Canis lupus familiaris: one gene and its partner. The protein of the gene in region 2 purifies or fractionates together with the protein of the main gene of each other region. This does not show direct contact. Links are inferred from orthologs where the notes say so. Each region holds a gene or a part of one and is shown on either strand. Other genes may lie near its edges.

Region 1 (10,462 bases), on a different chromosome or scaffold from region 2:
TCTCCACCTCTCAGCCTCCACATCTTCCCTAGGTTCTTATATGCTATATAGCTCCAAATCCAATCAATCTTCCCCCCTTTTTCTATTGATTGATTTGAGAGTGAGCACAGGGCTGAGGGTGCAGAAAGGAGAGGGAGAAAGAATCTTTTCTTTTTTTTTTTTTTTAAGATTTTTATTTATTCATTCATAGAGACAGAGAGAGAGAGGGAGAGGGAGGCAGAGACACAGGCAGGGGGAGAAGCAGGCTCCACACAGGGAGCCCGACGTGGGATTCGATTCCGTGTCTCCAGGATCAGGCCCCGGGCTGCAGGCGGCGCTAAACCGCTGCGCCACCAGGGCTGCCGAGAGAGAGAGAGAGAGAGAGAGAGAGAGAGAGAGAGAGAGAGAGAGAGAGAGAGAGAGAATCTTAAACAGATTTTGTACTGAGCTTGGAGCCCGACTCAGGCCTCAATCCCATGACCCTGAGACCATGACCTGAGTTGAAACCAACAGTTGCGGGCACCGCCTTCAGCCCAGGGCGTGATCCTAGAGACCTGGGATCAAGTCCCATGTCGAGCTCCCTGCATGAAGCCTGCTTCTCCCTCTGCCTGTGTCTCTGCCTCTCTCTCTCTCTCTCTCTCTCTCTCTCTCTCTCTCTCTCTCTCTCTCCCTTTCCCTCATGAATAAATAAATAAAATCTTTAAAGAAACCAAGACTTGCTTAACTGACTGCACCATCCACAAGCCCCTTACTTCCTTTTAGGAGTTAAATTCCTTTTGGCAAAGATTGTTACTCTCAAGTGAAGCAGAATGTACAAGAGAAAGGCCTTTCCTAACCCTCAGGGCCCAGCTTTACAATGATTGTGACCACATAAGTAAATCATTTTACTTCTCTGTGGCTCAGTTTCCTCTACAGGAAATGCTGAAAATATTTGGATAATTAAAAAGCCTTTCAACAGTTTATGTGGAAGCGACGACCTTTTCTCTAATTACCTTTTAAAGTACTGATTTACCCTTTACTTTTGGTAAAAACACAATCCAGACTAGCCAATAGGTTTAAGTATACCTATTCAAATAATTTCTGTAATAATTGCATTCAACAGACTGGCTCTGCACTAAAATGACACAGACAATCCAAGTAGAAATAAGGTGAAAGACTAACAGGTGAAACTAATTATCACAGGGAAGACTTTGTAGTGATCTGACCAAATTACAATATTAGCTCTTCTAGAATGACCTAACACTGAATTTTTAAGAGATTTTTTTTTTTAAAGTAGCTGCAAGGGTGTCTTGGGTGACACAATCGGTTGACCATCTATCTGACTCTTGGTTTCAGCTCAGGTTGTGACCTGGAGGTTGGAAGATGGGAGCCCCACAATGGGCTCCACACTCAGTACATGGTCTGCTTTGGATTCTCTCTCCCTTTCTGCCCCTCCCACTTGTGGGCTCACCCCCCTCTCCCCTCTCTCTAATAAATAAATAAATCTTAAAAAAGAAAAAAAAAAGTAGCTGCATAGACTAAATAAAAGTAGGTGAGACTACTGATCCAATTGGCCTTTTCAGTTCTATGGAAAATATAAATTCGGGCAGCCCAGGTGGCTCAGCGGTTTAGCGCCACCTTCAGCCCAGGGCCTGATCCTGGAGACTAGGGATCAAGTCCCACATCAGGCTCCCTGCATGGAGCCTGCTTCTCCCTCTGCCTGTGTCTCTGCCTCTCTCTCTCTCTCTGTTTCTCATAAATAAAGAAAAAGGAAAAAAAAATACAAATTCTAAGAAATAAATTCTATCAGAAAATAGGGGATCCCTGGGTGGCGCAGTGGTTTGGCGCCTGCCTTTGGCCCAGGGCGCGATTCTGGAGACCCGGGATCGAATCCCACATCGGGCTCCCGGTGCATGGAGCCTGCTTCTCCCTCTGCCTATGTCTCTGCCTCTCTCTCGCTCTCTGTGTGACTATCATAAATAAATTTTAAAAAATTAAAAAAAAAAAAAGAAAACATTATAGAGGGAAAAAGTTTAAATTCCCCTCAAATATTTGAAAAGCCCACCTGAACAGTGATAAATTCAATGAAACTAGTTAACTGGAAGCAGGTACAACTGCTACTTCAGAAAATTCATACAGAATTTAGTTGATCAATTCAACAGTATAGACCAGGGTTTCCCAACCTTGGCACTACCAGTATTTTATACTGGATAGCTCAGTTGTGGGGAACTATCCTATTCATTGTAGGATATTTAGCAGCCAACTCTGGCCTCTACCCGCTAGATACCAGTAGTGCTACCTCCTGCTTATAAGACCCCAAAATGTCTGCAGATGTTGCTAAATGTCCCAACACAGCAAAATCACCCTGGGTAAAGAATCACTGTGGTGGGATGCCTGAGTGGTTTAGTGGTTGAGAATCTGCCTTCAGCTCAGGGCGCCGTCCTAGAGTCCCGGGATCAAAAAAAAAAAAAAACAAAAAAAACAAAAAACAAAAAAAGAACCACTATGGTAGAGCCAGCCTTGGTGTTCATCTGTACTATTCAGAGAGCTCCACAAAGCAAAGCAAATTAACTACAGTTTCAGAAACATTTCACCAAGTAGAGTGTATGACTCAGGGTAAAGTTATGACCTGAGTTTTCCACTCTCCTTTTGAAACCCATTTACTAAAGGACAAGAGCAACACACCCAAAAACAGAAGCATACCATTTCAGGCCTTGTTCTCACTGGCAGTCTTTAAAGTTCCTAATTCAGGCAAGGCCAGAAAAAACACATCATATATGAGGGTAAGCTCTCAGCCAACTCAAACTGCTGGAAGTGGTTCCATTTGTCTCAAGGTGGGAGAATGCTTTTATATGCTCTCTTTTGTCTTAAGGCAGTAAGTATGCTAGTAGATACACGTACATTTCTTTGGCTGTTTCAATAAAAATACTTATAACCAACAAAAGAGAATATTGGGGGAAATTTACATTCTAATCAATTAAAGAGTTTAAGAGAAAACCTTTTCTCAATTCATCTGGCATAACATGTTCCTACTTTAGCACAGAATGCTGAACAAAACCACATTTCGTCAATTTTGTAGTGCTTTATGTATTTATAAGGTCAATTATGACTAAACAGTACCTAAGATTCAGAAATGCAAAGACCAGGCTGAATCTAAAAATGATGCCAGGCTATGCTATAGAAAAAAAAAAAAACTTTTTTTTAATAGAGTGAGTTCAATATTCATCTTATTTGACTCTTCCATAAAAATAAAAAAATCGCCAAAATCAATTTGGTTACCGGAAGGTTTTGTGTTCCAGATGAATAAGGCTTTAATTTGCAATATTTGACTTGGATTCCTTATCATTGCAAGACATTAAAAGTTAATCTACCTTGTTTTTTCACTGACTATACCAGTATAGTCTATTTCCTAACTGGTAATATATTTTAGCTGTGAAATATATCAATAAGTTCTATCTAAATATATGCTAATAAAAAACATTTTTTACCAATTTGCAAAAAGCATCAACTTCTAGTAACAAACACTGATATTATAAATTATACTTCCTATAAAGTAACAAATCGGGATCCCTGGGTGGCGCAGCGGTTTGGCGCCTGCCTTTGGCCCAGGGCGCGATCCTGGAGACCCGGGATCGAATCCCACATCGGGCTTCCGGTGCATGGAGCCTGCTTCTCCCTCTGCCTATGTCTCGGCCTCTCTCTCTTTCTCTCTCTGTGACTATCATAAATAAATAAAAATTAAAAAAAAAAAGAAAAAAAAAAAAAAAAAGTAACAAATCAATTCAAATGTAAGCAACCACCTATAGGAGAATTTTACATTACCATACAAATTAGAATTACTCAGGGTTCTTTTTTTAACTGTTGCTCCGCCACTGAAGGAAGTAAATCAGAATCTGTGGGTTCCATGCATTGTCAGGTTTTAAATATCACAGGTTATTTTAATCATGCAGCAGACCTGAGATTCACAGACCTACAGCAACTAAAGGCTTTTTTTTCTTTTAGATAAAAGCTTTATCCTCACTTTCCCCCTCGATGTTTTTTAGAGAATATACTCCTAAAACCTCAAAGAGAACTTGGGAAAATGTTTTAAAATTCAAATTAGCTTTAAAATGCAGCTATGTTATTTGAAGAATTTCTCAGCTCACAAGCCAATAGAAGCTTTAACAGGCATGCCTAGTCATTATAGGTAAATTCTTACACCATTCTCAAACAAGTTCACACAACCTGGGGTTCCCTATTTCATAGGAATCTTAATATGTAACCAAACTGTTAAATGACCTACCACTGGGGCTTAGGGGAGGAAGACAACTTTCTGTTAATTTCTTGCTTCTTACAATCCTCTATTATCTCATTTTAAAGAGAGCACGTACCCTTTATCCTAAGGTTCAGAAGGCATAGAAATGAAAAACACATGTGCTCCACCGCAGATAATATACATGTTTATCCTCTGTTGTCATTTTTCTTAATTTCACGATCACTCCAATAGACAGTAAGGGGTAGTTAATAAAACAATGTGCTGTTAATAGTAGTGTTCATTCTTCACTACACAGCATAGAAATCCTTTTCATCTAAGCCTTTCCTTTACAGGTGGCAAAGCAGAAACAGGGACTTGTAAACTACAAGCTAGTTTCTTTTCTTTTTTTTTTTAAGATTTATTTTTATTTATTTATGAGAGAGAGAGAGAGGCAGAGACACAGGAGGAGGGAGAAGCAGGCTCCCTGCAGGGAGCCCGACGTGGGACTCGATCCCGGGTCTCCAGGATCACGCCCTGGGCCAAAGGCAGGCGCCAAACCGCTGAGCCACCCAGGGATCCCCTACAAGCTAGTTTCTATGCAAAGTGGGGGGGTGGGGGGGAAGCCCTAATTGGAATTTCGGTTCACTGCAATGATGAACACTTGACACGGATTAAAACCACGTCGCTTTTCAGAAACTTCTGCAAAAGAAGACAAAACATGAGATCGCGGTTTTTTTTTTCTCCCTTTCACAAAACGGTCCACCCAACTTCGTACACAAATTCTTTGAGGGCTGGGATTTCATGTTTTCTTTTTCTGCCTTTGAATTTGGCAAGTGGAACTTTTGGCGATGTCAACAGCATACACGCTAAGCCAGAATAAAGCCAGGTTAAAATACTTATGACATGAAGTATCCTTCCATTTTTGAGGACTCTCTTACTTTTGAATTATCTTGCTGTCTTTGCATGTCCTCGGGAAAGCAACGGAACAACGGACGGTGCCAAACGTACTAAAAGAACTTCTTAAAAAGCAATTTAGGCCACATTCTAACTCGCCTATGGAAATTAGCGTGGGCTTAAAAATCAACTTTCCTAATTGTCGTCAGCGCCTCGAGGTCGTCAGGATGAAAATAAAGCTTCCAACACCGAGACGCTCCAGCACTTCGCCAAAGGCTGGACGTAAAAGCATCCACCTTCCCGCCGCCCGGCCCGGCCCGCGAGCCCGCGAGGTGCCAGGCGGGGAGGGGGCCGCAGCCCCGGAGCGCGCCCTCGACCCGGGCGGGGCCTGCAGGGCCGCAGCTGCCGACGCCGCCCGCCCGCCCCGGCCCTCCAGCCCCGGCCCCGGCCCCGGCCCCGGCCCCGACCCCGACCCGAGGGCGGCCGCTCCCACCGGGAGCCCAGGGAGGCACCGCCCGCGCCCCGCCGGCCGGGCCTCGCTAGCAGCACCGGCCCTGAATTCGCGGGCCCAGGGTACCCGCCGAGGGGCGCAGGGTCCCGACCCCGGGACGACGAACGAGCGGCGGGCGGTCTCCTCGGGGCTCTGGTCGGGAGGGCGGCGGGGAAAACCGGGCGCCTCACCTGCTCCTCCCGAGGCAGCCGCTACCACTCGCGGAGGGGACAACATGGAGCCTCCGCCTGCAGCAGAGGCCGCGGGGGCGCAGGGAGGGGCGGGCTGAATCGGGAACGAACCGGGCCCAGGAGGCGGGAAACGGGCGGGGCCTGGCCTCTAAAAGAGACTGGGGTGAAGGAGGGGCGCGGAGAGCTTCGAGGGAACGACCACGGGGCGGGCGTGCGAGGCGCGACGGACAGCGCTGGGCGCGGCGAGGGCGGGGCGGACCGGAGCGGAAAGGAGCACGCGGCCGAGTCCTGCCGCCGCCCGACGCGCGTGCTCGTGCGAGCAAGCGCGTCGCCGGCTACCTGGGACTGCACGCCCGCGGCGGCAGGCCACTGGGAATTGTAGTCCCACGCTCTGTGGCTGCCCCCGCGGGCTGTCCCTGTTCTGCGCACTCATCCGGGGCAGGGAGGAAGCGGAAGAAGGGAAGGGGCTTGGCGCGGCTCTTCGACGACTGAACTACAACTCCCAGCAGGCCATGCGGGGAGGGGAGGGGAGGGGGCGGGGCGGGCCGGCGAGCCCAGGCGGGATCCTATTGCGGAGACCCGCCCCGGGGCGGAGGACTTGGGATAACTAACCAGTTGGTAACCCCTACCCGCTGCGTTGTTCAGGGACCGAAGGACCAAAGGGAGGCCTCAAGCCTGGATGACGTGAGCGCTCTGGTTTTTAACGATTTTGACTTCACAAGGAGAGGAGGACGTGACTTCATTACCACCACCGCCAGTTTCGCCCCATAATCGCGAGCCTGGCCAAGCCTGGTGGTGGACCATCACCACCACTCTGATAGCTAAGACCTTCCAGTGAAACTCCTTCCCTAGGCTTTGTCCAGCCTAAGCGATGGCCGTGTTTCTTAAAAAGGGCTTGTTCTGGGCAGCCCAGGTGGTGCAGCGGTTTAGCACCGCCTTCGGCCCAGGGCCTGATCCTGGAGACCCAGGATCGAGTCCCACATCGGGCTCCCTGCATGGAACCTGCTTCTCCCTCTGCCTGGGTCTCTGCCTCTCTCTCTCTCTCTCTGTCTCTCATGAATAAATAAATAAATAAAATCTTAAAAAAAAAAAAAAAGGGCTTGTTCTGAAGCTACTTTTGCAGGTACACCCTATCTAAACTGTGTTAGGGCAATACAAAACGAGGTTCTCTGAAAATGCTTTTATTCACATTTCACATGCGACTAAGAAAATGTCAGTTGTGAAGAACTTTGTTATCTTGGATTTGTTGAGGTAGGAGCGGTTATCCGAGGTAGGTAGTTGGGGGCATCCATCCCACCATCACCACCATTTCTTGGCGTCACCATTCCCTCATTCATTACATAAATTATTATACTTTCTTCTGCCTGTTTTTTTTTAAGTTTGGTTTGTTTCTTTTTATTTTTTTTTTATTTTTTTTACTTTATTTGTTTGTTTGTTTATTTATTTTTGGTTTGTTTCTTTTTAAATAAACTTTGCCCCCAACGTGGGGATCGAATTCACCACCGGGAGATCAAGAGCTTGCATGCTCCTCTGAGCCAGCGAGGCGCCCCACTTCTGCCTCTGCCTTAACTATGACAATCTACTCAGAACCTCCTTCCAGCTACCTCCAGGCCCTGCCAAGCCTTTGAGCGGTTTTTGTTAGTTTGTTTTTCTTACTTCTGGAGCGATTGGGACAGAGGTGAAGAGAGATAATTCTGCCTTATCTTATCTAAAGAGATCCTATTTTGATTTCTTTCCCCCTGCCTTCCTTTCTCCCCAAACTCTCAAGATTACTTGAATACCCTCCTCTAGCCTTTAGATTTAAGAGTCGAGATTAGATCTAGTCCACTCTGGCCAGCAGGAAACTAGACATGAACATCAGGGCAAGTGCTGCCTGGAGTTTCACACTAGGTGTGCAGAAGGCAGGACCTACAAGATGTGACACAAGTCCAGGCCATTTTGTGGCATGCTCGGAAAGAGAGAGGGGCCAAAGGCCAATGACTTGTCACAATTGCAACACACTGTACAGGAATTTAAAACTGCACACACATCCCAGAATTCTCTAGTCCCTTCCCCATCCAATTTGATTAGACTTCTTACCATCCAACTTATGTTTTAAGTAAAACATAATCTTTTGGTTTCTCTTCCCACTAGAATAGGAATTTTTGTCTGTTTTTGTTCATTGCTATATAAATACACGGTGCTTCATATAATGCCAGGCAGATAGTAGAAATTCTTTTTTTTTATTTTTTTAAAGATTTTATTTATTTATTTATTTATTCACGAGAGAGACAGAGAAAGAGAGAGGCAGAGACACAGGCAGAGGGAGAAGCAGGCTCCATGCAGGGAACCTGATGTGGGACTTGATTCTGGGTCCCCAGGATCACGCCCTGGGCTGAAGGTGGCGCTAAACCGCTGAGCCACCCGGGCTGCCCAATAGTAGAAATTCTTAATATGTACTGAATGGACGAGTAAAGAAGGGGTATGTGACACCTAGCACTGCTCGTTCACTTTCTTGCTCCCTTAATATTAAGTCCCTAACTTTTGCTTTTTTTTTAAGATTTTATTTTTTTTATTTATTAATGAGAGACACACAGAGAGAGAGAGAGAGGCAGAGACACAGGCAGAGGGAGAGCAGGCTCCATGCAGGGAGCCCACATGGGACTCGATCCTGGGTCTCCAGGATCAGGCCCTGGGCTGAAGGCGGCACTAAACCGCTGAGCCACCCAGGCTGCCCTAACTTTTGCTTTTGGACAAAATACCCTGTTCTATTTTAAGGGCTCCCAATAGGGCTTCCTGTCAGGAAGTGACGGGAAACATTGACATTACATCTGTCTCGATATAATTTTCAGCACATCAGCCTTCCATACCTTGTAGAAGTGTTTGGCATTTAGAACAACACAGTACAAAAAAAAAAAAAAAAAAAAACACAGTACAAATTAAAGGCAGACTTTAGGATTAGTCACAGCTTAGATAGCAACTCCTATAAACGAGAAATATGTTTTGTTGTTAGTGTTGTTTCCTTCTCAAATAGCCAGGGTCATCAAAACAGTGGACATTCAAAATGCTTAATATGGACGGCCCGGGTGGCTCAGCGGTTTAGCATCACCTTCAGCCCAGGGCCTGATCCTGGGGTCCCAGGATCGAGTCCTGTGTCGGGCTCCCTGCATGGAGTCTGCTTCTCCCTCTGCCTGTGTCTCTGCCTCTCTCTCTCCTGTGTCTCTCTCTCGTGAATAAATAAATAAAAATCTTTTTTAAAAATGCTAAATATTGATAATACTGATCACAGCCTGCCTTCAGCCATCTCATTCTGAATTGAGTCATGTGATAAGACCAGATACTGAGCTTTCCTCGTGGTTTTCCCGAAGCGAGTGATATGTAGACATGTTCAATGGTTAAGACCACAGGGCTTGGAGTCAGACTGACTTGGCTTTGAATTCTGGCTCTGATGCTTACTAGCTGTGCAAACTTGGGTGAGTTAGTTAATCTCTTTGAACTTCTTTCATTATCTACTGCTAAATGCTTTTGAGTTGTTGTGAGTTAAATGAGATATAAGCATTTGGTAATTATGACTGATGCATGGGTAGTGCTCAAAAATTGGTAATTATATTCATTCTGGAAAGCCAAAACAAAATCATAAATATTCAAGGTAATCAAGTATTTTATGAAGCACAGAAATAACAAAATTGTTTTCTGCAGTGACATCCACTGTGACTCAGGTTCCAAAGCTTTCCAAAAATAGCTTTCCAAAATTGTTATGTGTCAGGCATAGTGCTCGGCAGTATTGCTTACATATGCGTAAGACACATTCCTGTCCTCCAGAGACTCACAGTCTTGTGGGGTAAACAGCCAAGTAAATAATTATCACTCACAGAGACTGTGCTGGGCCTCAGTTCAGCCTTTTCTCCTACTGCCTGCTCGTAGGATCCATGTTTAAGCAACAGGACCCTCAGAAGGGACAGACTGGACTACTGGCATCCTTGGGCATTATTTTTTTTAAAGATTTATTTATTTATTTTGGAGGGTTGGGGCAGAGGACGAGGGGGAAAGAATCTTCAAGCAGACTTCCCACTGAGTGGGGAGCCCCACATGGCACTGGCTCCCAAGACCCTGAGATTATGACCTGAGCCGAAATCAAGAGTCAGACGCTTAACCAATTGTGCCACCCAGGTGCCCAGCTGGGTGTCATTTAAATATCTATACCCGGGGTCCCTGGGTGGCGCAGTGGTTTGGCGCCTGTCTTTGGCCCAGGGCGCGATCCTGGAGACCCGGGATCGAATCCCACATCGGGCTCCCGGTGCATGGAGCCTGCTTCTCCCTCTGCCTATGTCTCTGCCTCTCTCTCTCTCTCTCTCTCATTAAAAATAAATAAATAAATAAATAAATAAATAAATAAATAAATATACCCTACTTCACTCCGTGTATAAAATGAGTTATTGACTTGGTGTCATAGTTTATAAAAAGAAAATAGAGTAGCTGGATGGCTCAGTCAGTTAAGCATCCAACTCTTGATTTCAGCTCAGATTATGATCTTGGGGTCATGAGATTGAGCCCTGCATCAGGCTCCACACCCAGCTAAAGATTATCTCTCCCTCTCCCTCTGTCCCTCCCCTGCCCTTCTCTCTCTAAAAACAAAAGAAAAGAAAAATAGTCAATAACTCATAGAGTGTTGTAAAGTTGGATATCAGGCCCTCAACATGATGGTAACACTAAAAA
Region 2 (9,964 bases):
GCTCGGCGCTCTTCTGCGTCTGGATCAGACTGTTCACCTGCAGCACCTGCGGGAGGACACGCGGCCTTGGGGGGCTGGAGGACACGCGGGGCGCACATGCCCTCGAGCAGGCAAGGGTCCTCCGTGATCCCTCTGGAGCCCCCCACCTACCTCCTCTAGCTCAGCAGCAGAGGCCCGGGGGGTCAGACGCTCCAGACGCAGGTGCAGGCGGCCAGATGGCACATCTTCCAGGGTCAGCCACTGTGGGCGTGGGTGTGGGCAGGCTTAGACTTGGGGGTGTGGGGACAGAGGGGCTAGGAGGACGAGCCGCGGGTTCTAAGTCCTTGCTCACCTCGTCAAGGAAGCCGGTGTTCAGGACCGCGGTGAGACCCACTTTACACCTGGAGAGGAGAAAAACCAAAACCTGAGGCCCGCGGTCGGAGCTGAGTCTCTGCCTCCCCAGAGCCAGACTTCTGTGGCCTCCCGACGCCCAACCAGCCTTCCCCTCTGGACTTCTGTCCTCTCACCTGCCCAGAAAGTCATCCTTGTCCAGGTCCTTGTCAAAAACCTCAAGGTCTAGCTCTTGGCCTGGAATTGATGTGACAATTACCTAGCAGGATAAAATAGCAGAGGCAGATTTTTTTTTTCTTCTTCAAATAACTGGGAATGTCCCCCCTCAATCACCTGAACCCCAGAGGGCTTTTGGACCATTCTCAGAGCTAGAGGAAAGAAGGAGGAAGGACTCCGAGGAGTCCTAGCCATTCAATTCTGACCTCAAACACCTCGTTCCAGCGGGGATTGAGATCTTCCCGAACAACACGGCTCCGGAAGCTTTGTCCTGCCAGCTTTAGTTTGACATAGGGGTCTGACTTGCCTTTCACCAATCCCCCCAAGAAACGGTCTTTGGCAATCAGGTCCTGGGCCTCTAATACATGGATCCGAAGCACATTCTGCAAAAGGGACAGATAGGGGCACCAGATGGCAGTCAGAGAGAAACCTGCCAAAACCAGCCCTGGAACAGGCTTTGCAACACTTAGACCCTCGCCAGTGCTTTCCAGATAGACTCACCTCAGTCCCAAAGTGACTATCAGGAGTAGTGCGATAAGGCCGAGGCGGGGCATCCACGCTGCTGCCTGTCTGGGGGTTCTCACTGTCTGGGTCCCAAGCACCAGGACTTCCAGGCACAGTGGGAAAGTGCACTCCTGATGAATCCAAGTACAAGATCTGGGAAGGGTGGTGTAATTGTGCAATCAGAGAAGTGCAGCTAGACACCCGCAAGCAAGGTCCGTGGGGGTTGGAGGCGGCGCAGAGGCTCTGATGGGGAAAACAGGTCCCTGCCTTGGCTGGGCTAATCTCTAGAGGGTTCCCCCGACACTCATCCTACTCATACACCACTTCTTCCCCGGTTTGGGCAACAAACATTTTTTGTGTGGCTGCTGGGTGCTTCCACATATACTAGCTCATTGGATCTTAGAGGATTTCCTCCTCTTTAGTCTTAATAGCAAGGAATCCACGAGGCCCCTCCAACCCTCAGTGCGTGCTCCGTCTCCATACCCTCATAACCAATTTCATGTAGAGCCTGGAGTTGGGGCCAGAGCTGCTGAGCTGGAACCACTGGTCCAAGGTGAGTTCAGGGGCAGTCAGCAGGCGAGCCAGAGGCACAGTCAGTGCCCCTAAAGTCAGGGCCCTGGAGTCATCCTTCACCTAGAGCCCAGGAAGAGGGGATGTAGGGAAGAGCAAAGGAAAAAGGAGGGGCGCCCAGGTGGCTCAGTTAAGCATCTGCCTTCAGGTGGAATCCTCGGATCCCAGCCATTGGGCTCCCTACTTGGTAGGGAGTCTGCTTCGCTCTCTGTCCCTCCCCCTCCTCATTCTCTCTCTCAAAATCTTAAAAAAAAAAAAAAAGTAGGGAAAAGGAGAAATACTGGGGAAATCGTAACATGGCTCCAGTTTCACTTTTGCTCCACCAACCACACAACTTTTGCTCCACTCCAGCCAGGTTTTCTTATGCCTATTCCGTGGTCCTTTCTGCCTTTGCTTATCCTGTTCCCATTAAGTTCTCATTCTCCTCCCCTCAGACTATTTTTTTAATTTTTAAATTCTTTTTATATTATTATTTTTTTAAGATTTTATTTATTCATGAGACGGGGCCGGGGGAGGGGAGGCGCAGAGACATAGGCAAAGGGAGAAGCAGGCTCCATGCAGAGAGCCCGACATGGGACTCAATCCCAGGTCCCCAGGATCAGGACCTGGGCTGAAGGTGGCGCTAAACCGCTGGGCCATCCGGGCTGCCCTAAATTTTTATTATTTTTTAAAATTCCCCTCTCTGGGGATCCCTGGGTGGCTCAGCAGTTTGGCACCTGCCTTTGGCCCAGGGTGCGATCCTGGAGTCCCAAAATCGAGTCCCGCATTGGGCTCCCTGCATGGAGCCTGCTTCTCCCTCCGCCTGTGTCTCTGCCTCTCTCTCTCTCTATCATAAATAAATAAATCTTTAAAAAAAATAAAAAATAAAATAAAATTCCCCTCTACTTAAATCTTATTTATCTTTTAAAGCCCATCCTTCACAAAATCTCTAGTTACTCAAGCCTCTGCAGCTTTTTTTTTTTTCGGCCTCCGTACTTTTTTTTTTTTTTTTTAAAGATTTTATTTATTCATGAGAGACAGAGAGAGAGAGAGAGAGAGAGAGAGAGGCAGAGACACAGGCAGAGGGAGAAGCAGGCTCCACGCAGGGAGCCCAATACGGGACTCGATTCCGGGTCTCCAGGATCACACCCTGAGCCAAAGTCAGGCACCAAACCACTAAGCCACCCAGGGATCCCCTGGCCTCCGTATTTTTCTTTGGCGAGCCTTAGCACTACCCTATGGACATTTTATTCCCATTAGTTAGTTCATCATCTTTAGATGGCTTTATACATGTGTCCAGTCTATGAAACTAGCCAGTAAGCTTCATGAAGGCGGATACTATTCCATGCTTTTTCTGTGACCTTTAAGCTTCTAGGTGTCTGCAGGGCTTCTCCTCTGGCATGTTTAATTGTGATGTTTATTTACTTTTTTTTTAAAGATTTATTTATTTATTTATTTATTTATACATACATACATACATACATACATACATACATACAGGCAGAGGGAGAAGCAGGCTCCATATAGGAAGCCTGACGTGGGACTCGATCCCGGGTCTCCAGGATCACACCCCTGGCTGCAGGCGGCGCTAAACAGCTGCACCACCGGGGCTGCCCTAATTGTGATGATTAAAAGACATCTTTGGGGATCCCTGGGTGGCTTAGCGGCTTGGTGCCTGCCTTTGGCCCAGGGCGTGATCCCGGGGTCCCGGGATCGAGTCCCATGTCTCTCTCTCTCTCTGTGTGTCTCTCATGAATGAATAAATAAAATCTTAAAAAAAAAAAAAAAAAAGACATCCTTGCAGTTTAAGATGACACTTCTAAAATAAAATTCTCTCCTGATCACAACTTGAGCCCTGCCACTTGATGGGAGAATCAGCAGAACCTGTAGGATCTTTTTTTTTTTTTTTTTTTTAATTTATTTATGATAGTCACACACAGAGAGAGAGGCAGAGACACAGGCAGAGGGAGAAGCAGGCTCCATGCACGGGAGCCCGACGCGGGACTCGATCCCGGGTCTCCAGAATCACGCCCTGGGCCAAAGGCAGGCGCCAAACCACTGCGCCACCCAGGGATCCCTGTAGGATCTTATTTGGGATCGACATTCTCTATTAGAATTTGTTCCTACATTTATTTATTTATTTATTTATTTATTTATTTATTTATTTATTTATTTATTTATATTTTTAAAATTATTATTATTATTTTTAAAGGATTTTATTTATTCATTCACGAGAGACACACACACAGAGAGAGGCAGAGACACAGGCAGAGGGAGAAGCAGGCTCCATGCAGGGAGCCTGACGCGGGACTTGATCCCAGGACCCCAGGATCATGCCCTAGGCCAAAGGCAGGCGCTAAACTGCTGAGCAACCCAGGCGTCCCTTGTTCCTACTTTAAAATTTTCTTTTTTGTTTCAGTGGAAAGAAGAGAGGGCACTCAGTTTCATTTTGTTTTTAATTAATTAATTTTAAGATTTTATTTTTAAGCAATCTCTATACCCAAGGTGGGCTTGAACTCACTACACAAGATCAAGGGTCTCATGCTTATGGACTGAGTTAGGCAGGTGCCCCAAGGATGCTCAGTTTTAAATGTTGAAACCTTTTTTTTTTTTTTTTTTAATCTTATTTAGTTGAGAGAGAATGAGCAGCGGGGAGGGGCAGAGAGGAGAAAGAGAAGCAGATTCCCCACTGAGCAGGAAGCCCAATGCAGGGCTCGATCCCAGGACTTGAAGATCATGAGCTAAGCCAAAGGCAGAGAGGTCCAACCGATTGAGCCACCCGGTGCCCTCAAATAAATGAAATCTTAAGAAAAAAGTTGATTACATAATCTCCGCTCCGAACATAGGGCTCGAACTCACATCCCAAGATCAAGAGTCACATGCTCTTCTGACTGAACCAGCCAGGCACCGCTATAAAGAATGATTCTAGGGACACCTTGGTGGCTCAGTCCATTGAGCCACCAACTCGGTTTTGGCTCGGGGCGTGATCTCAGGGTCTTGAGGTAAAGCCCTAGAGTCGAGCTCTGCACTCAGCAGGGAGTCTGCCTGAGATTCTCTCTCCCTCTGCCCCTCCTCTCATTCACACACACACACACACACACACACACACACACATATACGCAGCCTCTAAAATAAAAAAATAAATCTTACAAGGAAATACGATTCTAGAGAGATGACTGGGGAAGATGGGGAGAGTCTAGGTAGATGGACTGGAATATGATCAAAGAGGGACATGGTACGACCTGGGAAGGCAAACGGAACACCCAGGAGGGGCTCAGTGAGTTTTTATCTCACCTGCACATCGAGCTCCTGGCTTCGAGGGTCTTGTAGGAAGAACCGGAAAGCCTCCTCCCACACCGGGGAGTTGGTGCAGTAGACCGCCTGTGCAGGAGGGGAGAAGGGTATGCGCTGCGGCACCATTCCTGTTTCTTCAGAAAGACTTTGCTTTCACAGGCCGCCTAAAGGGGAAACTTCATCCCAAGAACAGTCCTCCCCAGCCAGATGTGCATGCACGTGCGTGCACACACCTCCCACCATGACACCCCGGCCCTCACCTTGCTCTCCTGGGTCATATCCTGAATTGACAGCTGTACCACGGGGTTGGGCTCCCTGTTCCCCTTCTTCAGCTGTGGGGGCAGAATTGAGAAGTCACCATCTTGGGTGTTTTTGGTTTTGTCCCAGTGAAGGAAGGTGGGCTCTCATCAGGATCTTTTCCCTGAGGTGGCTCTGATCCCCTCCTGGGACCCCTGGCATTCCATGCTGCTGCTTCTGAAGCCACGTGGGGAGGGACAAGAGAGGACGTGGGGATGCTGCGTCCAGAGCTTCCTGTTCAGCCGCCCTCGGGAGCCACACTCACGGGAAGATCTTGGGCCCGGTCCAGATAGACAACTAGGATGGCAGCTGATGGGGGCTCTGGTCGGGAGGACATGCCGCGATTCCACTGCAGAACCTGGAGGGCGGGCGGGGGTGGGGGGTGGTTGTCACACCCTCGCCCCTAGTCCTACACTCGCAGCCACCTCTTTCCCCCCTGTTACCTTCCCACCTTCCCATGTCCCTTACCTGCTCCAGTTTTTCTGCATGTGGCAAAAGCGACAGCCATTCTAGCCTGAGGTGGACTTGGCCTAGCCCACCTTGTAGAGGAAACCACTGGAGGGAGAGCAGAAAGTGAAGGGTGAGGGATCAGACATTCGCACAACCTCTTCCCCCAACGTAGCGATGACTGTCAGCCCAATGGGTGAGACTACCCCCCCCTTCCTCTTCTCTCAACTTACGTCATCCAGGACTCCAGCCTGTAGTACCTTCCCTACATCCAGCTTCATCCTGGAGGGGGCGGGGAGGAGTGGCAGTGAGCAGAGGAAAAGGAGAGTGTTGTCATTAGTAGCGTGTCATTGGCCCTCCACTCCCCCGCCTAGAAATAAAAGGCAATTCTCAGACTCCCTTCTTCTGTTCAGCAGATATTTGCGTGCGTGTGTACACGCGTGTGCGTGATGGCGGCGAGGGTGGGGAGGTTGGGAAGGAAAGTAATATACAATTCCCAGGCCTGCAAAAGGATTAGGATTACCTCTGTGACCCTGGTAGCACCGAGGCTTTAGAATCCTAACAGGCCGAGGCTCACCTGCCCAGAAAGTCATCTTTGTCTGGATCCTTGTCAAACACCTCCACCTCAATCTCCTGGCCTGGGACCTCGTGTACCATCACCTGAAGGACACACGGGAGAAGGGGCTCAGGGGCTACATTGTGAGGGTCCCTCAGCACCTTCCCACACAGCCTCCCAGGGCCTCCCTATTTGACACGGCCCCACTCCTCAGGTCTCCCACCTCGTAAGTCTCCCCCCACTGGGGATTGAGGTCCTCATCGATAACTCGACTGCAGAATGCCTGGGTGCCCACTCGCACGAGTGCATAGGGGTCTGACTTGCCCTCAATCAGGCCCTTCACGTATTTGTCTTTGGAGCCCAGACCTCGGGCAGCCAGCAAGTGAATCCGAACAATGCCCTGTGCAAAGCAATCCGATCATGAGAACCGAAGGAGCGGGCACAAGGTCCCCGAGAGAAGGATCTATCTGATGGGGGAGAGGCCGTACCCTGGGAAGAGGGGAACGCAGCTGGGCTGCATCACGAAGGTCAGGCACTAGTGGCACCAGTAACCGGTTGGGCAACACAAGGAAGGCAGCGATGGAATCCATGATCATGGTGTCAGAGAGGGAGCTGATGGGGGAACAGAAAGGAAGGTGTGTGTCCCCAACGTCCAGAAGCCCCCCACCCCCAGCTCTGTTGCCCACAACCAACAGAGCCGTAAAGCTAGAGGAACATCCTTTCTTGAAGAGCTTTTTTGGCTGCTCTCCTACCCTCACTCCCCACCTACTGCTCTGAACCTTTGCTGCCACCCCAGCTCGCCTTTTGCTTCTACCCCTATGGAGCGGAGCAGCCTGCAACCCTCTTTGCTCCCCACCCAAATGTGTGCTCCCCGACAGGACGAAAATCACAGGGGGGTTTGTCATCTCTCCAGCTAGGATGATCAAGACTCCCAGAGGGTGCTGGCTACATCTCTTACTGTTTTGTATCCCAAAAACCGACAACCAAGGGCTGGAATACTTAGGGGCTCCATAAATCCTTGACACCTGAGTCCTGGGATATCCAGCAGGTTGGTCATCCCTGTCCAGTTGATATCTAGGGTCTGGAAGGAAGGGGCAAGGGGAATCAGGACAGGGCACACGGTGGCCTGGTCACACCCATCCAACAGTTGCCAGATCCCTCAGCCTCTCCTCCCCCAAGCCCCAGAGCTGGCCACCCTGTTCCTCCCAGTCCTCTATTTTCCCCTTCCCCATGCCCCTCAGTGTCTTCCCCTACCGGGCGTCGGATGAAGAACATCGACACAGCCCCCACGATGGGAAGGTCCCCGATGAGTGGCTCGAGAATCACCCGCAAGACACCATGTAGCTGGGAAGAGAAGAGCAAAGCCTTTCTCCACAAAAGGCCTTCTTTCCATCCCGAACTGCCCCAGCCTTGGTTTTTCCAATTTCCCACTTCCCCATATCCGACGAAATTTAGGGCAAAACAAGGCTCCCTATTATGGGGGCCCCTGACATTTGCCCACCTGCATGCCTTTGACTCCTGCTTTGCAGAAATATTTCTTCACTTCCACATCAATCTGCACGTCACCTACGTAGCTGGGGGTTGACGGGAAGAGAACAGAGAGAGTTGGTACTAGGCTGAGGCGGGGAGGGGGTGAGGCAGGCAGTGACCAGGATGGCGAAGGGGGAGCTGCGACAGTGAGTGGGATTACCTGATGCTCAAATCCAACAGGATCTGCTCTTTGCTCTGGCCAGCATGAACCTTGACTCCTACGATGCGCAGCGGCTGCGGAGACAGGACTTCTCAAGAGAGAGAAGAGGGAAAGGGAGGAGTAGCTGAGCCCCTTTCCGGCTGGCCAGCCCCCCCGTCCTGCCTCCTCCCTCCCGCTACTTTCCTTCCTACCACACACACCTTCTCACCCAGTTCCACTCGTGTAAATGTGAATGTTTGCAGGTGGGGGTTAGAGCCTCGAACAGCGGGGGCCACAGTTTCAGCCAGAAGCTTCTCCATGTACTGGCCCAGGAAGGGCCAGACCTGGGCCACAATCTGGAAGGAGAGGGAACCTGTCACAGGAGAGCCTGATCTTCTCCCTAAAGACAAGCTCCTTAGAATCCTCCCCACAGAGAGCACAGGGGCTACCCCTGGGGTGTGCAGCGTCTGGCTGGAGATATGAACCCCGTTCCCTGCTTATGAAACATAAAAGAACCAACCCTCACCTTATTTAGCCACTCGGCCTTTTCCACGTCTGGAAAGCTGACCTAGAGGTGAGGAAGGGAGAGAGGGATGAGCACCCGCCACCGGTGGTTTCCTACTGAGATGCTGGAGGCGCCCACAGAGGAAAGGAAACAAGGTGTGACAGGACCTTGGCACGCCCAGGGGCTGGAGGGGAGGGGCTGGGATGCCCTGAGCAGTCCCTCCTCCAGGGTTTCGGGGTGCCGAGGTGTGATGGGGGTACCCACACGGTGTGGGCCCCACAGAGTCGTTCTGTGGACAGCCGGGGATGTGGGGATGTGGGCCGGGGACAGCTCCGGGGCGCACAGGGGGACGGCGGGCGGGCACATTCTTGCTGGACAGGGAGGGCCTGACCAATCAGAGTTTAAGGAGGAAATCCTGGGGTGGCGAGATCTCGGTTCCGTTTTGCCCCCTTCCCGCCTCGCTACCTACTGGGGCCTCTTCTAAGCCCAGAAGTCAGAGGAAAGCGGCTCCTTGAGTTAGGGAGGGAGACGAGCTACCGGGCCTCAGCCGGGTCGTCGTCGTCTTTTTTTCTTTGGATCAGTGTGACTCCTTTTATGGGAAAGGACACCTGTGCTCCACACTGGGGAGGAGGAGCGGTGCTTCAGGGACAAGGCTGCTTCCCGCGGCGAGGCGTGGGGGCCGCGGGGCTGCAGTGCCCTGGGACGATCGCGCCCCCCCTCCCGCCTCGGCCCGCGCGGCGAGGCCCCGCCCGCCCGCTGTCGGCTCGGATTCCGCTCTCGGGCCGCAGACCCGCACCCCTGCCGGGAGGGCGGCGGCCGGCGGGCCGGGAGACGGGCGGCGCTGGGGGTGCGCAGTCGGGAAGAGGGTGGGGCCGGCCGGGCGGCCGAGCGTGGGCCGCGGGCGCCCTCCCCTCCCTCCCCCCGCAGCGGGAGCCCTCCCCCGCCGCAGCTGCGCCCTCCCCTGCCCTCCCCCCGCCCCCCGGCGCTGTGGCCCAACCGCCAGAGGCTGCAAGGCCAGGGCCAGGGCCAGGGGCGGGGCGGGGGCCGCGGCTCCCCCGGCAGTGCTCCCGCGGCTGGGTCCCGGCGGGTACCCCGGGGGAAGAGCGGGAAAAGGAGGAACCTCAGGGCCTTAAACCGCAAACGATGATAATACAGAAAAAAGTCTGCAGGAGGACGGGAGAGAGGAGGGAGCCCTCGGAGCCCCACGCGCCGTCCGGGAGCAGCGGGGAGCGCTCGGGCGGCTTGGCTGGGGGGGGCGCCCCGGCCGAGCCCGGCTCCCCAGGGGTTCCCACCGCCTGTCCTGGCGCCGAGGAAGAAGCACGGATGCGGTGGACAGACCGGGATCCGGGCGCGCGGCAAGGGGGGTCTGCTCGGTCCCCGGAGAAGGCGGCCGGCGGGGCGGGGGGTGCTCCCGTGCTGCCAGGGTGGGGAGCGGACCTCGGGCCTGGAGGGAGACCCCGGCAGCGGGGCGCTCGCTCACCCAAGCAGGTAGCTCTCGGTGGCTCAGGTAAAGCGTCTGCGCCGTGAGCCGCTCCTCGTCGTCCAGCAGCTGCCGCGCCGCTCGGAGGCTCCGTTCTTTCCCATCGCGGACGCGGCG

What was found. The genes of interacting proteins can lie anywhere in the genome.
Region 1: the proteins of ESYT1 (region 2) and ATL3 purify together in Homo sapiens (affinity purification with mass spectrometry; 3 studies listed by BioGRID and IntAct, with this or other methods). This does not show direct contact. The link is inferred for Canis lupus familiaris from reciprocal best matches to the Homo sapiens genes ESYT1 and ATL3.

What each region holds. Positions count from the first base shown.
Region 1 is NC_049239.1:53,810,920-53,821,381, reverse strand, and holds the start of ATL3 (atlastin-3), read right to left. Parts: upstream 5,984-10,462; 5' UTR 5,814-5,983; coding exon 5,768-5,813; intron 5,388-5,767; exon of another isoform or gene 5,282-5,387; intron 5,273-5,281; exon of another isoform or gene 5,131-5,272; intron 1-5,130. UniProt on the Homo sapiens protein: Atlastin-3 (ATL3) is a membrane-anchored GTPase that mediates the GTP-dependent fusion of endoplasmic reticulum (ER) membranes, maintaining the continuous ER network. It facilitates the formation of three-way junctions where ER tubules intersect.
Region 2 is NC_049231.1:800,629-810,592, reverse strand, and holds part of ESYT1 (extended synaptotagmin-1), read right to left. Parts: coding exon 9,848-9,964; intron 8,431-9,847; coding exon 8,389-8,430; intron 8,219-8,388; coding exon 8,084-8,218; intron 7,958-8,083; coding exon 7,884-7,957; intron 7,768-7,883; coding exon 7,695-7,767; intron 7,538-7,694; coding exon 7,448-7,537; intron 7,275-7,447; coding exon 7,219-7,274; intron 6,806-7,218; coding exon 6,682-6,805; intron 6,594-6,681; coding exon 6,417-6,593; intron 6,298-6,416; coding exon 6,215-6,297; intron 5,920-6,214; coding exon 5,871-5,919; intron 5,746-5,870; coding exon 5,659-5,745; intron 5,549-5,658; coding exon 5,456-5,548; intron 5,226-5,455; coding exon 5,154-5,225; intron 4,981-5,153; coding exon 4,894-4,980; intron 1,684-4,893; coding exon 1,534-1,683; intron 1,204-1,533; coding exon 1,048-1,203; intron 930-1,047; coding exon 753-929; intron 590-752; coding exon 507-589; intron 381-506; coding exon 332-380; intron 241-331; and 3 more. UniProt on the Homo sapiens protein: Binds calcium (via the C2 domains) and translocates to sites of contact between the endoplasmic reticulum and the cell membrane in response to increased cytosolic calcium levels.